2 linked regions of the Pelodiscus sinensis genome follow. The protein of the gene in region 1 purifies or fractionates together with the protein of each later gene. This does not show direct contact. Links are inferred from orthologs where the notes say so. Each region holds a gene or a part of one and is shown in the gene's direction. Other genes may lie near its edges. The genes, in order: TMEM192 and LAMP2.

Region 1 (15,744 bases):
GGTAAATTAGTAGTTACATGTAGATACAACAGTGATGGGTGTGGTTTAAGAATGAGAATAGAATAGGATAGTACCAATCTTTGTAGAAGTATCCATGTAAATACTATAGATAAACTGATTGAAACAGCCCAAGCTTGAAGTGCTCTTAATTGCAGTATTTTGAAACACTAGATAATCTGTCATACATACAAAAATGTGACCATGTGACTCAAAAGTAAACAAAGTTTTAAGTCTCTCCAAAAACGTGCCCTCCAATAACTCAATGAAAGAAAGATTTCATTTTACATTCAGTGAAAACATTACTTAATGCACCATGTAACTGTGCATAATCAAGCCAGTACTGATAAATGCACATTCACTAAGCTTTAGGACATCTTTTATAAATCATTCAACCTAAGAGCATGTCTACAACTCAATGTTGCAGCAATGCTGCTCTATTCCAGAGTGTAGATGCTTTCAGCAACAATGAAAAGGTCATTTCTGTCAGGAAATGCACTTCCCTAAGCAATGGTAGCTAAGGCAACAGAAGAATTCTTCCCTTAACTGAGCCCCTTCTACACCAGGTCCTATAATTCTAGTCTAGAGTGTGATTTTTCTATCCCCCTTTTCCCCAAATGATACAACTAGATCAATCTAATTTTTAACTGTAGACCAGGTCTCAGATAGGTGGTTGCAAATATATACAATAGTGAATTTACATGGTGTAGACCAGCGTTTCTCAAACTATGGGTCGCAACCTCCAGGGGAGGTTGTGAGCAACGTAGAGGGGGTTCGCAGCTGGATTCAGTTTTTCACTTGCGACCCATCTCCCCCAGGCCACGAAGAGCGGCAGGGCAGTGAAAGGCAGCTGCCGGCAAGCCACGCAGTGTGGCCGAGGCCATGGGACTCCAGGAGCACGGCTCAGCTGCAGCAGGAGGCAAGGCGGTGGGAGAGTGAGGCCGGCGCAGGAGCAGATGCGTGAGGGGCCGGCTGGGGCACGGTTGCCGGGCGAATGAATGTTTCCCCAGCTGGGAGAGGTCGGGGTCCATTAGGCAATGGGCTGGGGGATTGGATCGGGGCAGAGGACCTGGAGATTAATAAGGGCATATGGAGGTCAGAGATGGAGGCAGAGGAGACATGGGATAAGAATGGAGGATGGAGAAGAGGAGAGAGAGAAGGAACCAAAGGGAGGCAGAGCGGAAAAGAGGCACAGAGGAGAAAGAGACGGGGGGAAGGAGCCTGCAGGGGGGAAGGGCGTTAAGGACCACGAACACCTTGAAGGAACCCCAGGCGGGCAAGGAGTCTGGTGAGAAGGGGGGAGGAAGCGACCCAGGGCAGTGAGGGTGAGGGGTCACACAAATTCATTTAGCATTTTAGGGGGTCGTGGTATCACAAAGTTTGAGAACCCCTGGTGTAGACTATTATGCAACCATGTAAGTTGGTTCTTCAAATTATGAAGCAGTGTGCATTAGATTAAAGCAGTGTTTCCCAATTTTATTTGGCCACAGAACCCTTTTAAACTCTAAAGAATTTTGTGGAACCCCTAATAACAATCTTATATATGAAGCTGAAAATGTAGACCACAAATAAGTAAGGGAAATAATAAACAAATGCTAAACAAGGTCATGATATGTAGATTACCTATCATAGTCAATTTATATTTGTCACAGTTACATTTTTAAATACAAAAAATCATGCTACTATACTGAAGTAAAGTGTTTGCGAGACCACTGCCTGCGCACTCCCATAGAAGCAACTGGTTTGAGAGCCGACGCTTCGACTTTGTCTGACGTGGCGCTAGTGTATTTGTATTCAGTCACCCACATGATCCACACTCCCTCAGAGTGAGTACGGGGATTTATGGTGGTATATAACAGGTGATCATACCATTGATTGACTGCGCGCGCAGCACTGAATAGTGACATCATCATCTCCACTCTGTGGCTAAACTGGCATTACACAGGGACACTTATCGTGGCAAACACAAATGAAAATGATTGTCAATAAAATTCATAAATGCTTAAATATTATTTTTTTAAAAATCATAAAATGTTATTGTAATGGAATGTTCTCATGGAACCCTTATTTTCACTTTGCAGAACCCCAGAGTTCCATGGAACACCATTTTGGAAACAATGAATTAGAGAATAGACTCAGACTCTAAGGCTGCGTCTAGACTGGCATGATTTTGCAGAAATACTTTTAACGGAAAAGTTTTTCCGTTAAAATTATTTCTGCAAAAGCGCAAAAGCATCCATGGCCAGTCTAGACGCGATTTTGCGCAAGAAAGCCCCGATCACCATTTTAGCCATCGGGGCTTTTTTGCGCAAAACAGTTCTTCCCTGTCTACACTGGCCCTCTTGAGCAAGTATTCTTGCGCAAGAGGGCTTTTTCCCAAGCGGGAGCGTGAAAGTATTTGCGCAAGAAGCACTGATTTTGTACATTTCAAAGTCAGTGCTCTTGCGCAAATTCAAGCAGCCAATGTAGACAGCTGGCAAGTTTTCTTGCCAGTCTAGACGCATCCTAAATGTTTGGCCATCTGGGGCTAGTATCACATAATTTCCACTGCATTGACACTGGAAAACAGACAGCTACTTAGCCACTGCATTAGTAGTATATTTTGATTACCTGCTGACATGAATTGCCATAAAAGAATTATAGGTGTATTCTCATCTTAAGCACTGTAAAAGAAACATGTAAAAGGTTACATTTTGGTATCACAGTATACCAAGTAAAGAGCAGCTTTTACTGAAGCAGGCAAGGATAAAAAGAAATGTTTCTATAAATATTTTAATTCCATTAAAATTGGACTTACACAGTGATAAAACTTGTATAGGCTAGTGAAGAATCAGGCCTCAGATTTTCAGACTCATTGTTCATAGCTTTTAGAACAGCTGTGCTAAACCACTTAATCTCTTTGATCATCTCACCTCTCATCCTTCTTCAGCGGCATCAGCTCAGATGACATCTATATTAAATTTACAATCCAAATCCAAGTTGTTCCACTGTGAGCTCTGTGCTTCTCTAAAACAGGTCCAAAATCTTTTCATAGGCATAGAAAACACAAACGTTATGGTCACATGATGAGAGAGAGACAGCCTCCTTCTAGACAAAGTGACACTGTCTGTTTCAAACCTGTCACCCTCATATTCTCCACTTTGGTTCCCCAGTCAGTGCCTCTAACTCCCACTCCAAAGTCTGTCTACTCCCACCCCTTCATCCCAGGGCAGGGTGACCCAGTGGTCAGAGTCTCACTTGCCCCTATGGGCCAGGTAGTACAGTTCAATAGTCCCAATGCAACCCAAATGTTCAAGTCTAGAACTTGCCCCTATTTGCAAGGCAGCACAGTTCAATAGTCCCAGTTTATAGCTTGCCCCTCCTTGTGGAGGAATGTAACCCAATGGTCAATCTCTCAAGGGTCAGTAGATAAGGGAAACCTTTACATCCCCTGCAGCAGGGAGTCCAGGCCCTCCCACTCCACTGGACCTCAGCCCAGGGACCTGTTTGTGGCTTCCTCAAGCCACTGAGTCAGCAGGGAAAATTCAAGCAGCAACTTGCTGACTCTCCAGTGTAAGCTCACTCACCCTGTAGCCATTGCTGTCCCTGAGTTTCTTCCTACTATTGGGCTGTGTCTACAAAGGTACGATCTCACGCAAAAGCGGCCGCTCTTGTGCAAAAACTTACTTCCTGTCTACACTCGCCGTGTGTTCTTGTGCAAGTAAACTTATGTTCTAATGTATAAAATCAGGGCTTCTTGTGCGAGAACTCTGACACTCCTGCTCAGGAATAAGCCCTCTTGCACAAGAGCTCTTCCAGAAGAGGCCAGTGTAGACAGGCAACATGAATTTCTTGCGCAAGAAAGCCCTATGGTTAAAATGGCCATCAGAGTTTTCTTGCGCAAGAGAGCATCTACACTGGCATGGATGCTCCTGCGCAAAAGCACATCTCTTGCGCAAAAGCACATGCCAATGTAGTCGGTCTTTTCTGGAAGAGTTTTTGCAGAAGAATTCTTCTGCAAAAGAGTTTTTGCGTGAGAACACGCCAGTGTAGACGTAGCCTAAGTGTCTCCACTCACTGATGAATCTCCAGCTCCCCTCCTTCATCTGGAACTTGTAAGGTCTCTAGATGGCCTCCGGGGTAGTGCCTCTGCATTTGGATAGTCTGTACAGTTTGCCCAGAACTGGCAAGGCATATTCACTCCCTTCAGCCACCAGTCCTAACTCTCTTGGTGTTGCGGATGCCCCCAGTAGTCATTAAGGATGTTAAGCGGCGGATAATTGGCTAACTGTGTAGTCGATACAATTTGTATCGACTACACGATTAGTCAGTAAGGGAAGTCGTTCAGTCCCAGCTTGCACCAGGTCCAGGAGCTACACCCTGCTGTGGCTCTGCAGTTTAAATGTAGTAGGAGCCAGGCATGCTGGCAGCCTGGCTCCTACTACATTTAAACTGCAGAGCCTCAGCAGGGATAGGTCCCCAACTCAGAATGAGCCAGGACTGAGCAAGCCCAGCTCAATCCTGGCTCACACCAGGTCCAGCAGCGAGGAACTGGGACCTCCCCCCTACCCCGCTGCTGACAGGGGCTGCTGCCGGAGCAGCTTGTGTTCACAGCCAGCCTGGGCCACTCTGGACAGCGGCTGCTTTGCGGCAGCAGCCCCTGTCAGCGGAAGTCCCAGGTCCCTGCTGGGACCCACCACAGTCCTGTGGAGCAGCCTCTGCTCATGAAGAGCCTGGGCAGCCTCCTCTGCTCCATTCTGATAGAGGCAGCAGCGGGGAAGGAGAAGGTGGCACTGCAGAGACGGTGCTTGGGGGAACCCACTTTAAAGCTGGCTCCCCCAAGCACCTGCTCCTGCTTTCCCCTGCCCCCATCCCCCTTACTGCCTGTGATACAGAGGCAGCAACAGGGAGAGAAGAAATGCGAGTTGAATACAAGACTACCTCCCTAGTAGTCACTCTGCAGTATAGTTCTACCCTGTGGGCTTACTGTCCCCAGTGGCCTCTTTCATATTGCATCCCCGCTCTTTCTGGCCTTCCCTTTCCATGTTATGGAAAACAGTTCCATTCCCAGCACTTTCTGTTTTCTTGGCACAACCAAACCCTTACTGTGCTTTAAATTAGGATAAGATGAAGCCACATACCAAATTTGGTGGTCCTAGCTCTCACCATTCAGAAGGAGTTCTTGAAGAAACAGACTCACAGAGGGACAGACAGACAGATGCACACTTCGAAACTATATAGATGTCTCGGTGTTTTGTTTCTACTGGTGGTGCCCATTAGCTAGGAATGGGGAACCGTGGCCAATGCTGAGGGAGTGGTGCTAGCAGAAAGGGAGGCCCCTTCCAGGATTGGTGTGGGGTCAGGGAAGGCAGGAAGTCTGCCTCAGCCCAATTTCCAGCCTCTTCCTAGAGCCAGCACCCCATACTTCCTCCTAACCCCCATACTCCCTCCCCCAGATCAAATCTTCCTCTCAGAGCCAGCAACCCACATCCCCACCTGCACCCCTGCTGTGGGTGGTTCTAGCTCCCCAGCTCTGCCCCTTCTGCCCAAGGTCCCGCCCATTCATGCCCACCGCAGTACAGCCTGCACAATGGCTGCTGCCCCACACTCCCAACCCATTCTGTACACTGGCCCTTGCCCCATGCTAAATTTCCCCCACCCACCCACCTGCCGCCCAGCACTGGGTAGCATGGTCACACATCCTGGAGCACCGGACAATGTGGCCCTAGCACACGGGTGGCCAACTTGTGGCTCCAGAGCCATATGCTGCTTTTCAGAAGTTAATATGTGGCTCCTTGTGTAGGTACCAAATCCAGCGCTGGAGCTGCAAGTGCCTACTTTCCACTGGGCTGGACCCCCAGCTCTGTCCTAAGTGCTGTCCCCCTCCATCCTTTCCCCCCTAGGATCCTGCCACTTCCCACCCTCTCCACTGAGCCTGTCACACCCATGCTTCACCCCCTCCAGTGTTTTCCACGGAGAAAGAGCTGATCACAGTGGACAGGAGGAAAAGGAAAAGGCGGCACTGACCAGTGGGTCTGCCCATGGGCGGGATGTGCTGAGAGTGGTGGTTGGGAGATAATCAGGGCTGGTGACATATAACTGTTGCTCTTTGGCAACGTGCATTGGTATATTCGGGCTCCTTCTTGGGTTTAGGTTGGCCACCCCTGCCCTAGAATCTCTGCCCTGAGCACCATGGGAAGGGCTGGAAGCATGCAGCCCAAGCCTCCTCAGCTCCAAGCATCACAGCGGGAGGGAGAGGGTGGATGAGTGGTGCACAGCTCCAGCATCACCAGCTCCAGAGCATGGGGAAGGCTCATTGCTTGTGTCACGAACCACAGCACAGCTGATGCCCGGGGGCAGCAGTACTGCACATCCAGAATGCCTACTGCTTCAGCACAATGTTCTGGGGGGGAAGTGTGGGCAGGGCCATGGCTGGTGGTTTCCTTTCCTGACCTATTATATCCACCACCCATGACCCCTGCCCCAGCCCTGTCTCCCTGTCAGAGCCAACACCATGTACCTCTCCTGCCCCTAAGCCCCTCCGTCCCAGCCCAGAGCCCACACACCCTCTGTAACTCCAACCCATGGCCCCAGCTGGATGAAAGTAAGTGAGGGTGAGTGAGTGCTGGACAGGGAGGATGGAATGAGTGGGGCAGAACTTGGAGGAAGGAGCAGGGAAGATCCTGAGCTTACATTCAAAAAGTGATCCTGGGCACAGAAAGGTTGAAGACCACTGCACTAGTTAGATTCCATCTGCAGATTCTCAGGCCCAGATCCTCAAAGTTGCCTAATTCCCCCTGATGTGAATAGGAGTTAGGTGCCTGCCTAAATACCAGTGAGGATCTGAGCTTACTTTGAATTTATCAGTATAAGATTGCAATATAAAAAGCCAAACAATTAAAAAGAACAGTACCAGCTGCCAACTATGTAATAACATAAAAATAGATTTGATATGAAGACTCTCATTTGCACTAAGGCCTCTTCACACCACCAGGCAGCAAAAAAAAAAAAAGGCATTAAAGTACCATCTTTTAGCATATATAACCCTCTGGTTATGCAAGATTTTACAATTCCCATTCCCCACCTCGTTCAGGTGTTATACAAGTTTTTTTTTTTTTTAAACACAGAAATTAACTAACTCTTGCTTAATAAAAGCAGCATATTTTAATTTAATAATAACGGCGGTGATTTCTGGTTTCAAGCCCAGCTGGTTAATTTCTTTATGTACAAAAGTTTTAAAATCATCCATGTTCTTCTCCCATTCATTGGGAAGCCATTGGCCAACAGATGTCCGTGTGCAAACTGACATGGTTTCTCCGCATAAATTTGTACACCCAATTTCCCGAGCCCCCATTAAAATCATAGATTTTCTGTTCTATAGCCATAAGTCAAACAAGCCTTGAGCTGTATAGCTACCGTTGATACCGCCTGTTTGTTCTCTCTCTGTGCATGAACCCAGCGTTATCAGCTGCGGTTTATTAACACTTCATTACAGGTGCTGTTCATTAACAGTACCTGTGGTTCATCTCCTGTGGGCTATACATGTGCGCTGGTTATCTAAAACTTTGTTTAAACAATCAGGAAAAACCATGGGTTATGCACGGGTGCGGGTAATTCACGTGCACGGGTTATATATACTAATTTACGGTAGAGATAAGTTACATTTACATTTGCTACTGTCAGAGCAATTTTAGGATGCCTTGGGTCTTATCTGCCAACAAAAGTTGTAACCCTTTCACTAAATCAGTTTAGAAAAGTGCATCATTACATTGAGATAATCCCTTTCTTGGAAAAGCTTAAACCCCATATTGATTTGATATCTCAATAATGAACTGAAAGAATGAACATTTACACCAATATAAAAGCACCCAAAGTCCCAAGAACCCAAAAATAATTGGCACGACTTGGAATCCTTAGAGAACTCCTTATTAGCTGCCTCAGCAGAAATTTAATGACACCTGAAAGTAGTAGTTCTGGTTGCTCCACAATACGCATGTTGGCAAAGAAATGTGCACTGCTGTTGTAACTGTGTTGTAACTATCAATGCTTTCACCTCCTTGCCTATCAACCCATGCAAGCAAGTGGGATTGTATCATACTCAGGAAGCACGGAGGAATCCGCTAGTGACAGGTCATATTGCAGCAGGGATATAATTGGGGTTGTAGAAAGGAGTCTGTGCGCTACACACACGTTCAGCAAAAGAGGATATTTGATAAGAGTATCTGCCCCACTGGTGGCCATGCTACACTTAGCAGTAGATTTGTCCTCTAGTGAAAAATGAGAAGGCACATTCCTCCTTGCAGGTGACTGAGCTGGGCTAGAATAGATGTAGCGTCCTGGTTCAATGTGGGCCCTTCCCTATCTTGTAGTAAAGGGAGGGCATAGAAAATCCCCTGAACCACTCCTTCTCTGCACCCCTAATCTCAGCCTGGTGTAGAGAGGACGGGGTGGGGAGTTGGACAACAACCCCTCTACTGAAGGGCAGAACTCAACTCGCTTCCTGGTATCAAGCTTTGCAACCTGACAGGAGGGGTCTGGTCACCCCTTGGGTTTGACATCCATGGTGCCACGGATGCCGATAGACCCACCCCGCTGAAACCAGCCCTGCCACAGCGCAATGTTGAGCCGTTTCCCTTAATGGGAGCTTAACACTGGTGGGGGTTGCTTTGGTTTTGGGGGAGGTGTCGAGGCCTCTTCTCCCGTTTGTACAGCAAGCAGCAGAGGCCGGGGCTACGGTACGATCCCCAATGATAACAGTGCGCTGGCTCGAACGGCCGGCAAACCTCCCAGCCAGTCACAGGGCGTCGCACAGACAAACAGCCCGCTGCAGCCCCGCTCCCCCGTGTGCCAGCCAGGCGAGAGCCGCTACCAGCGGCTTGCAGGGAGCAGGCGCTGAGGGGAGGGGCAGGCGGAGGTGGGGGCGGAGCGCTCGCTTCAGGCCGGTAGAGGCGGGGCGAGGCCTGGGTCGCGCCGGGAGGCCGCTCCCGCTGGGGCAGGGGAGCCGCCCATTAATAGAGCTGGCGACGGCGACGGCGGGGGGCGATGGCGGCGGGAGCGCAGCGGGAGCTGGAGAACGTGAGCAGCGGGGTGCCCGGGGGGGCGGCCTGTGCAGCCCGCGCCGGGGGCTCGCGCTGTGCTCGGGTGTCAGGCAGCCGCCTGCACGCGCCGGGCGGGAGCGCCGCTCAGCGTCCTGGGCTCGCAGGGGAGACGCAGGTTGAAATGGTTTGGCTGTGTCCGTCCTTCGCACTTTAGGGGGGGGGTGGGGGTTCTGCGTGGGAAGTCGTGGAGCTGGGTCCTCTCCGGGCTGGCCCTGCACTGGCTTCTCCTTAGGCGGCATTCCTAGAGCCAACAGCTCTGTGCCTCAGTTTCCCTAGCTGCCCTGTCAGACGCGTAATTCTACTCGCAAAAGAGAGTTGGGGTTTTTTTTTAAAGCAAGATGAATATGCTTATAATAAGAAACATGGCTTTAGTATGTTAGGAAAGACAGGACTAGGCAGCACTTTAAAGACTAACAAGATGGTTTATTAGGTGATGAGCTTTCGTGGGCCAGACCCACTTGCTCACATCAAGTAGTGGAAGAAAATTGGCACGACCATATATACCAAAGGATACAATCTAACAAAAAATGAACACATATAAAATTGACGAATCTGGTTTAAGAACAGAGGAGGGGTGAAGGGGGAAGGTTAGTGTCTGTGAGGTAATGACATAGGGGTGATAATTGGGGAAGCTCTTTTGTTTCAGCTAGACCAGACTAACACAGCTGCATCTCTATTAGTATGTTACTGTACTGTTGTGCTTCCTTTCCCCCCCCTCGCCCCGTTTTTTAAAGTTTTTTAAATGACTGGAGAAACAAGTGACAAAGTGGGTCCAAGGGCGTGCGTGCTTCTTTTAAAATTGATGTGTTGGAAAACAAAAGGCAGCCTAAAAGCCAAACCGATGTGTTTATTATATATACAATTGCTTCCAATGTTTATTCAACAGAAAATTCTTCTATTTGGGGTTTTGTGTTTGCTTTGCTCCTCAGTGCTCAGCACACCCTGTTCAAGAGGCCTGTGGGGATGAACGGGAGAAGGGACTCCCTAACGAATTGAAATTCATGACCTGAGGTGGGTCATCAAAATTGGGTAGACCTAAAAGATAGACCTAAAAGATAACTTTAGGGGTGGATGAAATGAGTTCTTGTAAAGAGACGTTGTAGTTACGATAAATGTCAAAAATTGTCAATTTAAAACTCATTCTGAAAATTGGTTTTATTTACGTTCCTGCATAATATCTTGTCTGTGGGCTTTAATAAGGAATCCTATTTGTTTTTTTTTAAACACTACTGTTTTGACATTATTTTTCAATTAATATCATTTGTAGTATGCCACCTTTCTGGCTGGATTGTGTACGCATGTGTGTATATGTGTGGGAAAGACAAAGATAAATCACAAAAGCAACTTCACTGCATATATTCAAGTAACCGCCTTCCTCTGCACCCAAATTATAGATGATTATATGCACAAAACTTGTTTGTTACTTTTTTTAAGAAGGACTTGAGGAAGTAGCATGGCTATGAAACTTAAGTTCTCTATTTAATACACAAGGGATATTGACCTTAAAAGTACAAGCTGCTATAATATCTGCACTTGGCTATCCAGATGCAGCGTCTGTGCAAACAACACCTAGTAATGTCTGATTTTTGGCATGGAAATATGGCTGGAGGGGTTTTGGAAGCTGGGAATCTGATATGAGTAACTAGAACTAGTGTAAAGAGATGCTTTTGTTGAAAGCAGAACTGCAGTAGAAAGCCACGCATGTGACTTCCATGCATTGGTCTCTTCTGCTTTGACCTAGAAACCAGGCCTCAATAAGTCTGCAGTATAGTGATTCGTGTTCTGGCAGGTTCCAATGTAACCAGGATATCTTGGAAGCTATTGGATTTAGTCATTCATTTAAAATCCAAACATACTGTCCCCAGTACAGTAGAAAAGATTGTCTGATTCTGAGAAACATAGGTTGGTTATGGATTAGTGCTGGTAAGAGGGAGGGAAATGGTGCATATTTTAGGTATATTTGTTTTTCACATGAGACTTAGAAAATGACACTTCTTTTAGTCAACAGTTGGCTGCTAGTGAAAGGTGAATATTTGCCACTTCTGATGTAATTTACACAACATCCCTGTTTATTGTAGTACAAGTGCTTTTATATTGTAGGAATAGGAGGCTAGGAAGCAGCATGGTAATTGAGAATACTTGAGTACATAATACAATCTGGTTAGACTGGTGTTTTTATGCCAGTTAGCTCCATATGCACTTGAGTCCTTATTAATGAAGTATGTTGACCTCTCCTTCTTTGATGCTTGGATATGAGTTGACTTGAGAGTTGACCAAACAAAATAGTTAAATTTGTTGGGATTCTGCCTTGTTGATTGCAGCAGCTTGCTTTGCCACCTTTGTGGCAGTGATGCAATCAAGTAAGGAACTTTTGCACTATTGGCAGAAGAATTCAGAGTATTGTGTATGCATTTTTTTTCTTTGCATCAAAGGCTTTCTAACATGTTTCCTCTGTACTTAATCTGTGAACCTTGGGGATTTTCTGGGTTGTAGAGGGTTTGGGGTGAATGGATAAGCTTGTTGAATGTGGCCTTATACTTAGATGAGTTGAAAACCAAGGGAGTTCAGGTGTCTTAAGGGACAGACCAGCTTTGTTTGGTCACTTTCCTGATAAGTATTTTACTTCCTTTGGATGAGATAATCAGATTAGGAGAGTGTGATGTCAGGGATCTCTCAAAGCTTGTGTATTTTCAGCAGCATGTGTACCTTCTAAGGCTCTCTGGGAATATCTCATGTCTTCCATGAAGGCTAGGAGATCCATTACTGAAACATTGCAATAATACGTGAAGGATGAGGTTATTGGACCCAAGAAATCTGTTGGATTTTATTACCATGTTGTGCTGCAGCTCTGAGGCCTTCCTGAAAGGTGACACAGATTTCTGTCTGACAGCCTGTGTGCCACTAGAAGTCATAGGTTCCTGGTCTTCGTTTCATAGCACGTGCATGCACTCAGACGACTTCTGTAGCAGAAATGGGAAGAGGAACAGGAATACACGACACTATTTTTAGATGCATTGTGGAGACACTTAACTTGTGATGCTGTGCTTGGGGAAACTAGTTTCACTAGGGTAAGGTGGAGACATGTTTCAGTCACGTGAGAGTCACAAGTGCTTGATCTAAAATTGCAGCCTAGATTGTGGTGGTTTTGTTGATGGCCAACCATACAGTCAGCTGTAGGACCCAGGTGGCCACTTAGCTATTTAAAAGTGTTACTTTTTGAGAAGGTGGCTGCAGAAGCCTACCTTTGGTTATCTTAATGTAGAGTTATAAGGGGGATGACACCAGAATCTACTAGAGAAGGATGGGGGAGGGGAGAATTTTTTAGAAAGGGAAGCGATCTCAAACTCCCATATGTGGGCCACTTATGGCCTGAGCAATTGCACAATCTGGTCTGGGAGTCCCAGTGGGCTTGGCGGCGGGGGAACTACCAATTACCAGGCCCCAAGCTGTGCCCCTTCTTGTCACCATGTTGCCTCTTCCTTCCCTCCTCCCCACCCCCACATGATTGTAGGGAGAGTGACAGGCCCTGACCAGTTGTGCAACACCAGCCCTCCTAGCCCCCTGCGGTGTTCCCTGAAGCCATGTCTTGGGAGGGCACAGGGTGCCATGGGGTGGGGGAAAAGGATGGGGCAGTGGTGCGTATGGGAGGAACTCGGGGGCTGATAAGACAGAGACACCCCCCCCCACACACACACACCCTTGCCTGGACTCACTGGCTGGATTGCATAATTCCTCTGCCCAGGGATAGCCTGGGGGCAAAGAGTTTGAGATCCCTGGTGAAGAGCAATTGGATTCTAGATTCTTTCTATGGTGTTGGTGTTCCAGATCCTACTGCTAAGACTTCAGGATCTGTGTTGTCTTGTAGCCCGGTGTTACCAGACTTGCCCAATACTCTGGGGTATGCTCATTTATTAGCAGGGCTCGACAAATTATGGAAAATCTTACTCGCCAAACAAAAAGGACTCGTTTTTTTTAATGGCATAAATTCCTAATAAGAATAAGAACAGTAATTTCTAATAAGCAGGGCTCGCCGAACCGCGAGCTTGGAACTGCTGAAACTTCTAGTGGTTGCCTGTTTACACAAGTCCCGCTGCCTGGGCGGCTTTGCTCGGGTGTCCCTGGTCTGCTGGGGGTGTCCAGCGACTTTGCTGGTCTGCAGGGAGACGGGGAGCAAAGCCTTGGAGCACGCCCGCAGCGGGACAGCCCGGGCGCTTGAGCTGTCCCCCTGTGGGCGTGCTCCGCAGCTTTGCTCCCCGTCTCTCTGGTCTGCAGGGAGACGGGGAGCAAAGCCTTGGAGCACGCCTGCAGCGGGACAGCCCAGGCGCGCCTGGGCTGTCCCGCTGCCGGCTTCCCCGGCGGCTTTGCAAAGCCACAGGGGGGCTGGGGCTCCGGGAAAGCGGGTGGTGGGACAGCCCAGGTGCGCCTGGGCTGCCCCGCAGCCCCAGCCCCTCCGCGGCTTTGCTCCGCGTCTTCCTGGTCTGCAGACCAGGGAGATGCGAAGCAGCTTTTCTCGCCCTGGAGTACACGTAAGTCGGATCCGCGTAAGTCAGGGACTGCCTGTAGTTTGGTACAGAAAGATGGTGTGCCTTGTAAACAGTCATTGAAGGAGAAATGTAAAAAAAGTGTGGGGAAAAGTAATCTTAAATCCATGTTTAAATTTCAGGGTTCCCTGGAGGTAACCCAGAGCACAGAAGATGATCCTCTACTTGATGCACCACTTCTTCCACCTCATGAATTGCATTCACAACTGAGTCCGAGATTCCATGCTATTCCGACAGTCTTAGTTGCCAATTTTCTGTTGCTTCTACATGTAAGTGTTTTTTTATTTATTTTAAAGTACCCTCAGATTTTAATTAACTTGAGTATGAGGAGATAATGGGAAATTCTGGTTCCCCAGCTGTAATGCACTGGACCTAAAGCATGGATTGTGAGTAAGGAGAGCAGTGACTTTTGTTGCATACTCCTCATACCTTGTGTTTAAGTTTTCTGTCCCAACACTGCCAACTTCCAAGTCGCATGGATATGGCAGGTAATCTAGTCAGATAAGAAGTCGCTTGACTTGAGTGTATCGGATAATGTGAGTTATAGAATCCCAGTTAAATTGGGATATGGCTTCAGGACCAAGAAAGCATTGCTGCACTTACTCTTTTGTGCAGAGTTGTTTGTTTTTTTGTGAGTTTTTTAAATTTAGCAATACTTGATATTAAAGACTAATCCAGTCTAAATTTTTGGTTTATTATTTATAGTTATTTCCTGTGAACTTAGCTTTGTCAATGCTCAACTAGTTCTAAAACCTAGTAAATAAGTGTCTTAGCTCTTCTCAGGTTAGAAAAAGTCTTCAGATCTCATATGTAAGCAACTTGCACTCATATAACTGTATCAGTATGTTTAATAGAGTTTGGGTAGATCTGATGTTGACAATGCATTAATGTTACATCTTCAATACCCTTCCCACTCTGAAATGTTAATGGGGGTGGTGGTGGTGGTGATGTTCCAAAGGCATACAAACTACATCATCAAAACCTGTTTCTTAAAATGGACTTTGCTACGTTTGAGCAACCCCCTAGTGTAAAGACCCTTTAAACCAATTCAAGAGTGCATAATGTCAATTTAGTTGGTGTTATTTTGGTATGTAGTCGTGCCCTAAACTTGTCATGTTGGTAACTACAAGCATTGAAATAGTGCTTCTCTTTGATAGGCTTTAGCTGGTGTTCTCAAGCACACATCCATCTGAATTTTTCTCACCATTTTTTTTTTTACATGAAAAACAAAAATAATTAAACCTTTCACCAAGCATATTCCAGTGTAAAAAGTAGTGCATTTGGTTAACTTAAATGGCAGGATTGATGATGCAAAATTGGGTATCTGTAGGTAATCGCGAAGTATTACATTATTTTCTACAAACTAACTCTTCATCATATATAATAGATATAAAAAAATATATATGGCTGATGATAAATTAGAAATCATTAAATGTGTACAATAAGGGAAGCTAAAGACGTGGGGGGAAAATCCATCACTGGTAAGGCTAAGGACAATAAGTACCCTTCTTATCCTTACTGTATGCTAGGGACAGAAAATCCTAGCAGTGATACTGGTCCATGATTAGATAGAGGAGGTAAAATTTAGTAATGATGCAGAAAAGGCAGAACAAATTTCTGTGTTCTTTCCAGGAAGAAGTAGCATGATATATTTTTTGTACAAAGATGAAGTATCTTCTAGAAAATTGCAGTAGATTTTTTTTCTTTCATTTGAACCAATCCAAAAAATGAGGCATAGTAAGTAAAAAGATTAAGGTAATATTGCTTACACTGTAACTACTAATATTAAGGTCTGTCTACTTTCTTTCACAGGTTGCTTTTGTTGTCTTATCATTTTTAGCAGGTATATATTGTTCTTCTGCACACCCAGTTGAAGATGTGTGCCCTGGAAACTACACCAACCCACTTAAGGTGCAAAGTGTCATAATCATTGCAAAGGTAATTCTGTGGCTTTTGCATGTTCTCTTTGAACGATATGTTCAGCATCATCACAGTAAAGTCAGAAGCAGAGGATACCTCAAGATCTACCGATCAACAAGAAATCTTAAAAGGCTGCCACTCTTAATACATTCTACAGGTGAGATGAACTTTTTTGAATTTTGTTCTTCGTGGATTTTGTATGAACAAAC
Region 2 (16,361 bases), on another chromosome or scaffold:
ATCTAAAGGTAAAAGTTGCATGCAGTGCCCTCAGACACATCCACCTTCCTTCCGTATGCTGTAAGACACCTGGTACTTAATATATTGTTTTAGCCTGAATCTGCCTTCATGTAACAGAAACCTTTGGGATAAAGTGATAATTCTTCAGGCTTTCCATAACCTTATCGGTGTAGCTGGTATTATGAGAAGAAAGCGTGGTCCTGAATTGCACTGAAATTTCAGACTGCAGAGCCAGGGTTAGTGGCCCCTATGCTGTAGTGCTGAATTTGTGTTCCCAACAAGGTCTAGTCCTTACAGATCCAATCAGGTCCTAGTTAACATGGCTATGAGGCCAGACTGCTTCTGTGACCAGCCACAAGGTTTCCAAGAAGCCTGGGTCAGACTCAGTTCCTGCAGTTCTCTGTCAAGCCCCTGAGGCTACAGATGTCTGAGTGAAGAGCCATGTTACTGGATCTGACTGTCATGTTTCTAGAAGTATGGTTAAGAGTCAACTCAGCCATGCCCAGCAGTACTATACCTTGTGCCTTCTGATTATTGGAAGCTTGTGGAAACCCTGCAGTTGCAGATCAGGGTCAGTTCCACCTTCTGCTTCTGGATTCAGAAAGATGGAATTGATCCGTCTGCCAGAATCTGAGCTGGCAGCTCCTTTGGTTCCATCTACCACAGCACCAAACAAGAAGCACAGAGACAAAACGTCTGCTGTTACCAAAGCTGGCTCCTGTGCCAACAGTTGGATCTGTCTGATTCTGACAGGACTGGTACGGTGACAAAGTGGATGTCTGTTCCACCTCTGACTTCATAATAAAGTAGATACAGTTGGGGAAAATGTTGGATCTGAGATTGTCCATGTCTTTGAATCTATCATTGGTTCCTGGCCAGTCTCAGCTACATCTTCTGTTCCAGAGAGTTCTAGACTGATGACTGCCCAAGTTCATCTTCCAGCTCCACTTGATTCATCAGTTCTGAGTGGAGGAAACAGTTTCCAAAAGGAGACATGTTTCCCTAGTTCCACATTCTTCATCATCCACTGTTAGGAAGAAAAGCTCAGAGGTTGCTATTGGTCTTCCTCCAGAATTCTTTCCTCCTCTGGACTCTGATGGAGACTCCAAGACCTGGATCTCACACCTACATTCAGACCTGCTACTACCCTTAGTACAGTCTTAGTAAAGATCTTTACTGGGAAGAAGACAAAACAAGAATATAGCGATCTGTGGCTTGTTTTGAAACACATGCCTGCAGAATGCGGATCATATATGTTTCCTGCACCCTGGTTCTGGGGAGATTGGCAGTCCTGGGGTTCATGGCTGTATTGGGAGGCCACTTCAGCAATTTTTCAGTTATCCTCCAATCACATGGAGAAGGAAATGTTTTATCTGTTAAAGATCTGACAATCCCAAAATCCGTGGGCCCAGCTCCTGATCCATCTACTTTACCAACAGAGATGCCCAATAAAATGTCTAAAGGAGAAGGTGAAGCGGTAGTGCCTCTGTTTGAACAGAAACATTCCAAAATGGTTTATGAGCCCATCTTATCCCCAGGTGAACAGGTAGGAGTGGCTTTGGACTCCTTCCCCTTCTGAGGATGCTACACAGTTCCACAATTTGGTCGATCGTATGCAGTCCCTTTTAAAATCTTCTTACAGTGCCTGCAGAAAAGACATGTGGTGTTTAATATCGCTGATGCTACTTCATCATCCATTGGTATTAGGTTGGTTAATTATCAGGTGGTCACTACCTGTTCCATTTTCTATCTGTCAGCTGCTGGTCTTCTGCACCAGAGGTCAGACTTGAAATATGCCTTTCCTGTGATCCATCTACTATATATTTGAGAGCGTTCAGTTTGTGTGTCAATTATCTGTGTGTTTATCTGTCTGAGAGACCGTTTGTTCAAGAACTCATCCTAAATGGTAAGAGCTAGGACTCCAAATATGTATCTTCATCCTCTTATCATAACTTAAAGCAAGGTCAGGGTTTGGCTGTGCCAGGACAATGGGATGTGCGTGGAATGTGATTTGTTTCTCATCAAATGGAAAGGGAGGAGGCGAGACAGCAGCAACAGTTATACTTATGAATGATCACAAGGGGGCAGCAAGCATATGGGACAATTGTAACACAGAATGACCATGGGAGCAGCTGCTGGCCAGGAACACAATCCTTGCCACTGGCTACCCCAGGAGTACAACTGGCAGCACATCCACCACCCACCCCAGGCTGGCCCCTACCATGCAGCCCCTGCAGAGCATCTGCTGCCCTGAGCCGTTCCCAGGGAGCTCCCACACTCTGAAAACCTCCTCACTGCCCCCAACCTTGACTCCTACACTCACCGACCTCCTGCCCTGAAAGACCCGAGCAACACTGGGTAAGTCTTCTAGTAAGGTAATGAGAAAGATATATACTATTTACGTAGGATTTTTTCCAAACTTAAAAATAATGTACAGCTGTCCCTATTTTTTACAGGACCTAAACAAAATAGAAACACAAGATGCTTTGCACAGCCATTTTTCCCCCCCCCCCCCCTTCCTAGATGTTTCTTTTGCTTTTTAGGTTATTTTTTTAGACTTGCTAGCCACTAAGTTTACTGTGGAAAAATAATATTAACAAACATACAAATATCTTTTTTTTTTTTTTTTTTTTCACAGCAGACTTACTCTGCCTCAGGAAGCCTAAAGACAACTTAAGCCTTAGATGGGTAGGTTGGTATGGAGGCATGATAAACTTTGGGTCAGATCCTACCACCTCTTAGCCAGAGCACAGAGCCTGGAGAAGCCACGTGGATACAGCCTGCCATTTTAGACCTGAATCCTGACTGCACCAGCCCCAGGAAGGTGGGCAGCTCCCTGGATGCTTTTTCATCCAACTTTGGGGTTCCACAATTGGGTCCTGCCCCCCGGCAAAGCCCCAAAGCCACTGCATTGTTCCCACTCCCATCACCAGGCAGGAGGCTGTGGTAGCAAGAAAAGCCCCTGTGGCCACATTTGAGAAATGCTGTCCTCAAGAAGGAAGAGCTATGTGGAGTCCATGTGCTGCCTGTGCTCCACCTCACCCTGAGTGCTAGCTGTGCAGTTCCCATTAGCCAGGAGTCACAACCAATGGAAACGGGGGGAGGGGGAAGGTGCCTGCAGACAGAAGCAATGCACATAGCTGCCTAGTTGTGCCTCCAAGTCGTAGCAGCAAGGGCATGTTGTCACTTGTGGAGATTGCCCAAGGTGAGTACTGCTTGGATCTAGTGCCCTACCCCTTGCCCTAAGCCCCCTCCTGCACCCAAACTCCTTCCCAGAGCCCATCCACCACACCTCCTTTCACATCCAAACTCCCTCTCCAAGACCAACCCCACTCTATCTCCACACTCTGAACCCCTCAGCCCCATTCTGGAGCCCCACTCCTGCACCCCAAAAAACTCATCCCTGGCCCTGCCCCAAAGCCTGCACCCCCAGCTGGAGCCCTCACCCTCTCGCACACTATCTTCCCATCTACATCCTGAACCCCTCATTTCTGACTCACCCTGGAACCTGCCCTCCCATACTAATCACTTTCCCTCGCTGCAGAGAAGCCAGCACCCTCCATCGCTGTCTCCAGCGTGCAGACCAGGCTTTTCTTGCCTACCCCTGGGGTAGAGCATCTGGGGGCTGCTGGGTTGGTCCCACAGCACCGCTCCGGACCAACCCGGCAGCACCCCAGCTGCTCTGCCCCAGGCGTCCTGATTCAGCTGCTGCTGGTCAGTTTCAGCAGCGGCTGAATCAGGACGCCTGGGGCAGAGCAGCTGGGGTGCTGCTGGGTTGCTCCAGTACAGCCAAGGAGCCGCGCTACTGGAGCAACCCAGCAGCACCCTAGCTGCTCTGCCCCAGGCGTCAGCCACTGCTGAAACTGACCAGCGGCTGACTACAGGAAGCCCAGGCAGCTGACTTGGGGACGCCTGGGTTTCTTAAGTTGAATCTGTATGTAAGTCAGAACTGGCATCCAGATTCAGCCGCGGTTGAAACTGATCAGTTTCAGCAGCGGCTGACGCCAGTTCCGACTTACATACAGATTCAACTTAAGAACAAACCTACAGTCCCTATCTTGTACGTAACCCGGGGACTGCCTGTACTGCAGAGCTCACAGCCTGGGTAAGCGTGTAACCGCTGAAATGTTCAGCGATTACATGGTTATCCTAATCACAGGTTTTCACATCCTAACTCTATAAACATGCTGTGCCCAGAACAGATCTATACTGAAACTGATGCTGAAAAAGACATGAACGAATCACAAGACCTGGGTGCCATTTTATTTAAAGACTGATAATAAATCGCTATGGCCTCAAGGAGAATCAGACAGGTAATGCAATCAAGTTTAAAAGGATCAGCTACTGATTACTCAGTTATACAGCTCCCCATGTTGAAATATTGTCTGACACACACACACCCTTATCATTCTAGTCAGCTCTCACAAATCATGTCCCCATAGTTTCAGAAAAATTCTACTTCTGAGCCTGTTCCTTTTTGCTGGAAGTTTGGGGTTTTGGTGTTTTGAGGTTTTTTTGTGGGTTTTTGTTTTTTGTGCAGCATGATGTAGTTTCTCATTAAAATGCATCAGGTGACAGCCAGAGTCTTGACTAATCATTTTCATTAAGGTGATTTGAATTTGTGTGGTTGACTGTTCCTGCCTCTTTCAGACAATCTACATTACTTACTACTATGGTTATTAAGAAATTGCTTTAAATATACCAATATGGCAGTCCAGACCTTTCAAGATCTAATTTTTTTCCTAATGTTAAAAAGCTAATGCTTTCATGCAGAATCCTCATAATGGTAACATCCTAGTGGATATTATCTGATCTTGATTAAGCTGTTGTCCAGACGATAGCCAAATCCACATTGCATAGCCTGCATACTGAACCACGAATTTGGCCTCAATGGGAAAAGAAATATTCCTGAAGTGGCTGCAATAATGCAGAGGTGTCTGTGTCTGATGTCTCTCTATTGTGCATATCCATAATCCCCTCTTTCTTTTCCCTTCCAGGGTACAGACTCCTTGTTATTGTTTTGTTTTTTGTATGCCAGGATTAGCTCTAGGCAGAAGAGGCTTAAAGTAAAAGTCAAATCAAATGACTAAACTTACCAGGATAACTGTGATAACCATTGCATTTCATGTATATTATCTCTCCTTTACTGGCGGCTTGTATATTCCAACACTAGAACTGTATGGCTACGTCTAGACCGGCATGATTTTCCACAAATGCATTTGCAGACAAGAACGTCTAGATTGGCACGGACGCTTTTCACTTTTTGTGGAAAAGCGTCTGTGCCAATCTAGATGCGGTTTTGCGCAAGAAAGCCCCTTCGCCATTGGGGCTTTTTTGCGCAAAACAGTTTTTAGCTGTCTACACTGTCTACTCTTGCGCAAAAACCTTTCTGGAAAAGGGCTTTTGCCCGAACAGGAACGTCAAAGCATTTGAACAAGAAGCACTGATTTCGGACAGTAGAACGTCAGTGCTTTTGCGCAAAATCAAGCGGAAAAACTTGCCAGTCTAGACGCAGCCAAAATCTTCTGAACATTTGGTAGGATGTTCCAAACCTCCATTCTGAAAATTCAATACATCATGGAGCACAAATGCACTGCCACATAGAAATATCCCATTTGTTAATTTCAAATCACACTGTCCCAATGGGAAATGTCTCATTAAATCTGGATCAAGTGGCCATCAACCAGGACTTCCCTAAATCATACCAAATGCACATGAAGTCTTTCTCGATACAGTCAAATGCAATTTTTTTACTTACTCCTCATCTGCTATCCCCTACTCCTTGGTTGTAAATAATTGATCATATAGGCCTGAGCCTTGATGTCTAAAGTCAATGGGATTCACCACCAATGTCATCAAATCAAGAAGAAAACTATTCATGTTGGAGCCACTAGGCTTGTTCCTTCCCCCCACCCCTATATCACCTTCTAAGAAAATTGCAGAGGAATCAGCCAGAAACTCCAGCTGGTAAGAAAAGTAGGTTTATCAATTTTGATTGGACACATTCCTGGAGGTTTCATGTGATATTTAATGAAAGATTAATATCGAATTTTCGGAGGCTCCAGGACATTCCTAGAGGGTTGGCAACCATAAATGCAAGCCAAAGCAGCGATCTTGGGACATTCCAAGAACTTTTTATAGTTTTGATTAGATAGCCTGGCTGCTCCAACCTCCTCATCCCTCCACAGAGTCTTTTCATCCTGAGCCTCTTCTTCCCTACCTTATCTCCTTTGTCCCTTTCCCTTCAGCTTATCTTCTCTTTGTTATTAAACCCTCCCCCCCCCCAAAAAAAAAAAATCACAGCTCTAACATGCCATTTGCTGCTATCGCAGTCTTCATTCTGCTGATGTATTCTATGCATTCCTTCACTCTGTTATGTCTTGTCGATTTGGATTGTAAATCCTTTGGGGCATGTACTGTGCTGCTCTGTTAGTACTTGGTACAATAAAGAACTAGTCTTGATTGGCTCTTAGACACCAGGGTAATAAACAGAATTAAGAGTAAGTACTCATCAAAGGCTGGATCCTGTAAGGTCCTCGATTCCTATTCCCTTCAGCAGGCCGAGAAAGTGTTCTGCACCTTTCCGGATAGGCACCCTAAGTCTGACCCTCACCAATAAACCTTGCCATCATGCTTGAGGAATAAAAATGGGTGTGGGTTTACAAAATCAACCTGACAGTTTTTGTTAAAGGGAGGATTTATTTTGTCCCTTCCACGGTGGTGGGGAAAGGTTTGGGACTTGCCAGAAAGAACTGTCATGCAGACTCCATACCAGCCCTTTTGGGGCCAGAGAGAATGCCTTGAAACCCAGCCATTGCTAGTAGGATCAAGATAGCTAGAGTCAGATGAGTGAGAGAGAGAATGAAGATGCTGTTTAGAATATGCAAATGTCCGCTGTTCCAGACTATACCCAACACTTAAATGGTGCTGAATGGTAAGTGAAAGCCCTGAATACTGCAGACCAAATTCATCTCTGGACACAACTCCATTAGCCTCACTGGAGCTTGCATTAATTTACACCAGGGTAGAATCTATCCCTGTGTTTCCACAGGCCAGGCTTACAGAGGTCCTCCCAGACTCTACATTTAGGAGCTGGGACCTACAGAGATTTTCCCATGGGGCTGTCTCATCATTATCACTACAACTAACAGAAATTTGCAACCACAGACCCAGAGCAGCCATCAGTATCTCTTGTTTCAGAGTGTGACAGGAAAATAAGTTAACTAAGACACAGTCTGTATTTTTGTACTGTGTGTGGGCTTGTCATTTTTATTAAGACAAATTAAATCCTGTTCCCTCTCCCACTTACTTTAATGCAAGTTTTGCCACTGACCTCATTGGGAGCAGGATTGGGCCCTTCAGTTGGGTGAGCAAAATTATCTATCCCACAATTCTCAGGCTTGAACTGTCTCATTTTTCTCTTGCTTGAAACAGCCAACAGGACATACTAAGAAGCAGTTTCAGCCAACCTCAGAATGCACAAATGATAATGCACAAATGCACGTGATAAGCTCATAATGAGATGAGGTGACATCACAGTCAGTCTTACAAAGGGCGTTCTTAAAATTAAAGGAGACACTGTTAAGGGGGCAGTGGTAGGTTAAAAATGAGATATATGTTAAGAAATCCCTTACCTGTTTCTAATCATACCCTGGCATATTTGGTGATAAGCAAATCTTCTTAACATTTGTTAAGTTTTAATAATCTATTTGGTCACTTCTATGAATCTGCTAAACTCAGACAATAAAACAGGCTGTTATCAGGTTCATTTTAGTTTCTGCTGAATTCCTGGTCCTGCTCACGTTCTGGTTCTGATGTACTAAGTAAAGGCTGTCGTGTAGAATACAAATGTCACAAGGAAACATTTAAATTCACATGCATTTAGGAATTAATCCAAAGGCCCTGAAGTAAAGCTCCAATTGATTTAAAAAAAAGGAGCATTCCAGAACACAGACTGCTACACATATATTAACCAAATGACCCCCTTTCTTTAGTGGCTCCAGGTTAATTACAATCATAGTCTAGTTGAAGGTCTCTGTTTTGATATTCAAACTGCTTCCTGCAAATGGTCCTATGTGCCTGAGAGATCACAGTTCATGATCCTGAAAGCTGGACCTCGACTTCCTGCAGCTCCCCTTGGCTGCAAAGCACAAAACGGAGTGAATGGGAGCCACAAGGCTCTGTGGCTGCAGCACCAGTAAATAAACAAACTGGGGCGTCCAGTTAATGTGTTTCTGAAAGTGATTTCGCAGAACGCTTTCAGAAACACTGCTCTAGAAGGCTGACCCACACAAGGGGGTGGATGGGACACACACTTTGCCAGTGTGTTTCCTGGATATTTGTTGACAGCAGAGATATATTGAGATTCAGGAATCCTGAGTTCTATTTTAGGCTCTGGAGGGAAGTGTTCTGCCTGTTTTCACCAAGACTGACACTGTCTGCTCATGCCCTTCTACCTGTCCTGGTCCTGTCTCTCTCCTTTCTTGGCTCCTTATCTACCCAGGTCCAGCCTCCATAACTCTGGCTTCTCATCCCAGTCCCACTCACTTTTTATAGACTCATAAGACTGGAAGGGACCTCGAGAGGTCATCAAGTCCAGTCCTTTGCACTCATGACAGAACCAAGCATCATCTACACTAGTGGTGGGCAACCTGTGGCCCTTGGGCTGCATGCAGCCAATTGGGGATCTGTGTGGCCCATGAGACTTGAGTTTACTGTTGCCCATGGGCAGGGTTGCCAGATTCTGCTATTTTCTGTCTGCATAGAATTTTTTTCGTGCTGGCATTACTAAAGTGAAGCAAAGGCATGTGAAGTTAGGTGATGTTTGCTTTTTTTGTAACAGTGTCACATTATTGACTCACATTTAGCTTGCCATCCACTATGGCTGCCCCATCCCTTTCTGCAGTACTCCTTCCTAGACCATCATTTCCTATTTTGTATGTGTGCAACTGATTGTTCCTTCCTAAGTGGAGTACTTTTCATTTGCCCTTATTGAAGTTCATCCTATGTTTACCTCAGACCATATATCCAGTTTGTTGAGATCACTTTGAATTAAAATTCTAAAAAGTACTTGAAACTCCTCCCATCTTGCTAGCATCCACAAACCCACCCAGTCTGAGTCTTCTACTCCAAATCATTTGTTTGACTCCCAATTTTCCCCTTTCCACAGCCAGTACCAAATGCCTATTATTTCCACCCACCCACCGCAACTTCTTGTCCACAGTCTCCATGCCTCCTCCTTTCCCTTCCCTTCTAGCTCTCTGACCAGTCTCATTCCCAGGACGACGACTCTAATCTCAGTGTAATCTGTTTACCCACCCACTTCCTGATTCCCTCAATTGTCTCCCCTTCCCGGTTTCCTTGTCCCAAACTCGCCCACACCTTGTCCACCCTCCCAGTCAACTAGTTCCTAATTCCCACTTCTTTCCTCTGCTCCCAGTCCCCCCCCCCCACACTTAGTCAGTTTCTCTCCCTCCACCTCTTTAGTCCCGTATCAGTGGGCTCCTTGTCCCGTTCTAGTCCCTCCCGCTATTCTGATAGAAATGTAGCTGTGTTAGTCTGGGGTAGTTGAAGCAAAATGCAGGACAATGTAGCACTTTAAAGACTAACAAGATGGTTTATTAGATGATGAGCTTTCGTGGGCCAGACCCACTTCCTCAGATCCCGCTATTCTAGCACTAGAAATTCTTAGAGAAAAAGTTCTTCAGCACTTTCTAACACGGGCACCACAACTTAGTTTCCCCTCATGTCATTCTGGGAAATGGTCTGGTGTTAAAATATTAAAAAGTGTTTTCAATGTATAAGGTAGGTCGCACGCAGTTGCTTGCTGTGTGAAAGGGGTCCCTAGCACAAACGTTTGGGAACCGCTGATGTAGACCTTTTTCCCCCTTATTCTCAGATGTCCCCTTAGTCTTATATTGGACCCTTAGTTTGCCGCCCGCCCGCCTTAGTTATAAATTCGACTATGCCTGTGACCCATAAAATTAATGGTGGGGTGAGGCGCCTCTGTGATTGGTTGCCCGCCGAGGGCTCCTCCCCTTCATATGACCGGCCTTGCGCTTTCACTGCGCCCGCCCGTTCGTCACGCAGAGCCCCAACGCTGGTGAGCATGGCGACGCGCTGCTCTTGGTCGCGGCCCCTCAGCCTTACCTGCGGCTGCCTCCTGCTCCTGGTGCTCGGCGGCCCCGGTGAGTGCTCGGCGGCGGCTGGCTCCGCAGCCTGCGGGCGGGGGGGGCGAGTCCCTCGGGAGGGGTCATGCCGGGGGGGGCGGGGACGCTCTGAGGGGGGGCGCTCTGGGGGCGGGGACGCTCTGAGGGGGGGGCGCTCTGGGGGCGGGGTTGTGAGGAGGGGGGCGCTCTGGGGGCGGGGACGCTCTGGGGGGGGCTGTGCGGAGGGGGGCGCTCTGGGGGCGGGGACGCTCTGAGGGGGGGGCGCTCTGGGGGCGGGGTTGTGAGGAGGGGGGCGCTCTGGGGGCGGGGACGCTCTGGGGGGGGCGCTCTGGGGGCGGGGCTGTGCGGAGGGGGGCGCTCTGGGGAGCTCTCTGAAGGGGTGGGGGTGCCCCGGGATAAGTGCAGGGGCTGTGGGCGCGGGCTTTCTGCGCGTAGGGGCGCTCTGTGCGGGTGGGGGTGGACTTTGGGGGGGGCTCCTGCGTGTAGCGCGAATGTGTTTTGGAGGGGCGGGGGGGTCATGTCTGCGCAGTGGGCGATGGCTGCTGGGGGCCGGGCGTTGCGTTGCGGATCTCGCTCGCAGGTGCGCCAAGTCCCGGAGCTTGGTCCCTCGAGGCAAGGCTCAGACCACGGGGAGAGGTTTTTGCCCTGGGAGTGATGGGGATGAGTCCCCTGCACTCAAACCAGCTCTGCTGGGCCCTCAAGGGTGTGCTGGGGGGTAGCCCTGAGAAGGAGGCGGGGTGAGCATTCCTGGCACTTGTGTGAGAGCTGAAGTGTGGCTGCTTTTCTGGCACCTTTGGGAGGGTGCCCTGAGAGCACAACTGGGCTTCAGGCAAAAGCACAGTAAAGATGCTCCAACATGATATTCGGGGCAGTCATAACTCTCCATTTCTTCTTTTCCAGGGTGTGCTCCCTTCCTTGCCCCCCAGTCTTCCCTTCTTCTATGTGTTAAACAGACCCATGGTGTCTGTGAAATGCTTCTTTAATCCTTCCTAGTCTACCTAACGGCTTCATTTTTTTGTTTTGTTTAATGTGGCATTTCAGTTTGGACTCTGTACTATAAGGCCTGGATTTTCTCTCACTGCAAACTCAAACTGGCTTTAGGTTTGTTTTTGCTACTGTTTAGGATAGAAGTGTGTACCATTATATAGGGATGAACAGACATGGACTAGAAGTGCTAACTCTAGGTCTTCCCAATGTGATCTCCTATGCAAAGTGAAAATGGTGCTGAATTTGATTTCTTCTAATTAATTGCAATCCTGACTTGTTGAAAAGGCTGTTTCCAGCCTTGGTGTATTGATATTTTTACAGAATTATGCTGTCAGGTTAATATTAAGTTATCCAGAGGGATAGGAGAATAAAATGAAAAAGGATAGGGGAGTAGTCGCCAGCTTTTTGTCATATATCTCTCAACTTATTTGGACCAACAGACTGCATTTTGATGGCTTTCTGGGCTGTTGGATTAACATTGTTACTTGAAATACTGGGTATTCCACAAGAGCACTCTAAAACTGTAACTGTAAATACCTGAACAAGAGTCTCCTCCTGTAAAACATGTTCTTACTTGTAGCCAAATTGGTCTTTACAGTTTTGCAGGTCCAAATAAGCCAAGTAGAAATCCAAACTGTACAGAGTATGCTGGAGTAATACTCTGCTGGGTAAACTTTAAGTGGCATCTTTCCCCACACCTTAATGGATGCAAGTAATTCTTCATTTGGTGCGTTTGGCACAATATCCTTTCACACTGGGTGAACTAATCCAAAGTGAGAGTAGCTAGCCTGTGGTTTTCACCAGACAACTCAGCAGGTGAAGTGTTTTTCAAAGTGGCACTTCTCTTTTGGATCAGGAGTCTGGTCTTTGACATACTTCTCTGCCAGAACAGCTATTTCAGTCACAAATCACACTTCATCACACCTCTCATTGGCCTAGCTATTCCAGCAAAACTTGTAGTGGTAAGTGCCGCCACTTGCTACTGCTAGTGTTACCGTATTCCAGATTCCCAAAATAAAGGATGCTTGGGGAAGAAGAAACCTGGGGGATACTCAGTGGAGTTGAGGAAAGTGTCACTTGGTGTCAGTGTAGCAGGGCAGCTGGCACAAGCCCTTTGGGATTCCTCCCCTAGGACTGGGGTGAGTGTGGGAGGGATCCAGCAGCTGTGGCTTGCAGGGAATGGGCAAATCAGATGCAGGGAAGGGAGCAATAAGCGCTGTTTCTGAGCTGCAGCTTGCCTGCTCTGCAAGCCTTCTCCCCACCCCCCATGTTTGAAATCTTTTCTCACCCAGAGAAAGCAGGCTCAAAGAGGCTATTTCTGGAAACTTTTGATGTATGGTAACCCTAGCTTCTGCTGCATCCACATCACATCAGAACAAATTACTTTCCCAGAGGAATCAGAAGTTATCATTGTTTTCAAATTTATTTCTGCAGGTGGTGATGGGTGGGTTAGAAAATGTAGGCTTGAGGTAAAACCAGGTTATCCAACTTTCCATTTTGAATAGGGCCCACCACTATAACCAGACATCCTTTGTAATTGTTAGTAACAGGAAGAGCACTTTTTACATATATAGGGTATTGCTCTAAATTCTGCTGTCATTCTTCTTTCTTATTGGAATAGTTCAGCTGCAAGACAAAAGGAGAATGCTGCACTTCAGTTGTACTTTTGTTCAAATATCTTTACTTTATTTGAAGGTGCATCAGTAGCTTTTTTTTCATAAAATGAAAATGAGGCAGACTTATTCAGGTGCTGCAGAGCAAGTCAGCAGCACAAAATAGAACCGAGTCCTTGCTATGAGTGTCTTGTCTTAAAAGCAGCATAGGATTAGGCAATATGAAGATAGTAATTTCAGTGCTACATGCATTGTGCTCTGTGGCTCGTAGAATACGTATGAAAATTTGGACTGTCTTAATAAATCATGTTGTGGTCTTGAATAACTGCCATGGTTTTAAAGAACTATCATAATCTTTAATATATAATAATGTGAAGATTATGAAGTTTATATTACTGCCACTCTTATGTCTATACCTCTGGACTTTATTTCCATGTGACTTCTTTTACTAACATCTTGCTGTAAGACTGCTCTCCTATCTTATCTAGAGCAGGAAATGGTAGCGATTCTTATCGAGCAACACTAAGCATCTCCCTTACTGAATGTGATGGTAAAAAAAAAAAAAAACCCACACGAAAGTGAAGCATTCTATAACTGCAATATTCAGGTTTCCAGTCTCTAGAAATAGTTTGTTGAGACAAGTTCTGGTAATGGTCACGTGCAGAGGCGTTTGGACTCTCTCTGTAATGGGTACAGTCTGCTAAGCTCAAAGATGCATGATAGCCTGTCATATTAGAGTAGAGGGGCCAGGAGCATGGTGAAGGCAACATTTTTGAGAGGTTAAAGAAAAATGTCTAGTACTAGGCGCAAGTTTTTCTCTGAAGAATGGGGGGGGTATTAAGTAGCTGAGGGCTGACTAGTACTTACAAGGTCTGGTAGGGAAGCTTGAATGCTTGCTTAAGACCAGGTTTCGCAATTCCTTACAGCTCAGTCAATGCTTACATATGTGCTCTCCAGTGGAAGTTGTTTTGAAACTTGTACATTACAGACTTTGTTTTGGTTTTTAAAGTAGAGTGTGTAGATCAAAACTGTAAACCCTTAAGTACTAACACTGACTTTTTGGAGTTTTGACTGGCTTTTTCTGAACACTGAAACGTTATTAACAAATGACCATGCATAGGCAAGCTGGCTTATGCATTGCGACACTTGTATTTAAAATTTCTTAACACTTACACTTTTTGGATAAACCAAACTGGAGTCTTAATCACTTGCTATACTAAAAGCATCTAAGTGTAATCTCCCTAATTTATAATCTCTCTAAATAAAAATAATTTGTAGTGGTAACAAGTACAATTTAATATTTCAAAGTTCCTTCAGTAAAGCTTCTGAAACTTGGTGTTTGGTGCTACACTTTCCATAATAAGAGTAAGTCAGTTCTAGCTTGTCAATAATGATAGTGTGTGACTCACTATCACACACTGGCTATCACTATCACTTAAATCACTGGATTTAAGTAGTCATTTGAATATAAAAGATAATATTTGGGAAACAATAGCAAATTGTAGCCCAGTCTCAAAGCTGATTTACCTGTCAGCAGCTAGGGAGTCTACAAGCTGAACCAGTTTCCACTGTTAGATTTTTTTTTTTATATACTGTCTCTCTCAAAATGCCTTTGAGAATAACTCAGTCAAAAATCTTCAGCATTCTGTAGGAAAAGAAACTTGAGATCTATGCTGCTAAAACAGGGTTTGTGGTGGTTTTTGTGGAATGGCTTGTTTTTTATTGGTCAAGTCCTGCATTTTTAGTCTCTTTTCTGGAAGACTGGTCATCTGGTAAGCTAGTAATATAATGTAGATACCAAGTAAGTGAAGTCTGACTAAGAAGTGCCCATAAGTTAGACTTTTAAACACCTGTAGCATTGACAATCTATAGTCAGAAGGGGAACTAAATTTACTAACTAGGCTCTTCGGTTAAAGTCCAGAAACTAAAACACAATTTTAAGAAAGGTACAGAGCCACAGACTCTCAATTTGCAGGCCACCTTAGTTCAGGGGCGAGCAAACTTTTTGGCCAGAGGGCCACATCTAGGTAGGGAAGGTGGGTGGCAGGCTATGTGTGTAGGACTTGTGCAGAGTTGGGGGCACAGGAAGGGGTTCATGGCTGGAGTTGGGGTTCAGTTTCCCCATTCCTGGCCAATGGGAGCTGCAGGGATGATGTCTGCTAGTGAGGGCAGCACATGAAGCCCTGTTGTCCCCCTCACTCCTCCCAGGGACTGCAGGGATGTGCCAGTGATTTCTGAGAGTGGCATGGGGCAGGAAGTCGGCCCTAGCCCCAATGTGCCACTGGCCTGGTAATCCTACAGGATGGGTCAGAAGCTCTGTTGGGCTTCATGCAGTCTGTAGGCCATAATTTGCCTAGCCCTGCCTTAGGTCATATCTGTTGCTAAAACAGAGCATAATGACTCTTTACGGCCATTCTTACCATCTTGTTTAGGGAATTCTGTCTTGACATACAAAACTTCTTCAGTGTTCAAATATTAATTAAATGAATTAATGACATAACCTCTTAAGATCTGACAAGCTGCTTATCTCAAGTACAAATTCCAATGTGCTCAAACTTTCTAAACATCTTGCTTCCTAGCTACCTTTACGTAAAATGTGAATTCTGCTGAGCTAAATGTCTGTGTGAAATGTTCTTTACTTTGTAGCAAGACAAGATAAAAGCTCCAGAACTTAACTTAAATCTAGAAGTTATATCGTGTTGCTAATTCTAGTATTAGAAAATCAAGTAGCCTTCATGTCTCTAGTAAAATTAATGTAAACCCGAAAGAATTTGCTCTGTTTAAAACATTTTGTAGTGAATTAATTTGTGAAATACACTGTAAAATGAAGTATCAATGTCTTACATGCAAACAATTACTGTATATATTATAGGGGTTTTCCAGTCACATGCAGTGGAAGTAGAGGTGAAAGATTCCTCCAATACTACATGCATATATGCAAAATGGATGATGAGCTTCTTGATAAAATATGAAACAAACAGTAGTGAATATGTAAGTATTGAATTTAATGCTAACTTCTGCTGTTAGAAGTACTATTCATTTCATTTCCATGTTCAGTCTTGAGAAACTTCAAAACAAAATTTTCTTTCTCCAATAAGTAGGCTAAGTATCAGGCTGCTAATCTTGTAATATTTGTAATATTTGATTTCTAAGTCCTTCCTAAAACTCAATCACACCATTCAGTCATGCTTAGGGCCCTACCAAATTCATGATCCATTTTGGTCAGTTTGTCATGGGATTTAAAAAAATAGTAAGCTTCATCATTTTTGCCTTTTTAAACTTAACATTTCATGGTGATGTAATTGTAAGGGTCCTAACACACAAAGCAGTGTGTAGGAGGAGGGGTCACAAGATTATTTTAGAACAGGCCTGGACAAAATATGGCCTGCGGACTGAATCTGGCCTGCCAAGCCACTAGATCCAGCCCATGGGTGCAGTGGGGAGCCCCAGGCAAACTCCCTTGCTTGCCCCACACACTACTCAGAAAATCAGCACCTGGGCCATTTCTCTTGCAAAACTTTGATCCAGGGCGGAGGCTTCAGGTACTGCCCCTGCTTCCAGCACAATCCCATTGGCCAGTTTCTGGCTAGAA

Evidence for each region.
Region 2: the proteins of TMEM192 (region 1) and LAMP2 purify together in Homo sapiens (affinity purification with western blotting; 5 studies listed by BioGRID and IntAct, with this or other methods). This does not show direct contact. The link is inferred for Pelodiscus sinensis from reciprocal best matches to the Homo sapiens genes TMEM192 and LAMP2.

What each region holds. Positions count from the first base shown.
Region 1 is NC_134715.1:63,164,459-63,180,202, reverse strand, and holds the start of TMEM192 (transmembrane protein 192), read left to right. Parts: upstream 1-8,894; 5' UTR 8,895-9,018; coding exon 9,019-9,051; intron 9,052-13,737; coding exon 13,738-13,884; intron 13,885-15,427; coding exon 15,428-15,692; intron 15,693-15,744.
Region 2 is NC_134723.1:33,822,538-33,838,898, forward strand, and holds the start of LAMP2 (lysosome-associated membrane glycoprotein 2), read left to right. Parts: upstream 1-10,029; 5' UTR 10,030-10,108; coding exon 10,109-10,187; intron 10,188-15,641; coding exon 15,642-15,760; intron 15,761-16,361. UniProt on the Homo sapiens protein: Lysosomal membrane glycoprotein which plays an important role in lysosome biogenesis, lysosomal pH regulation and autophagy.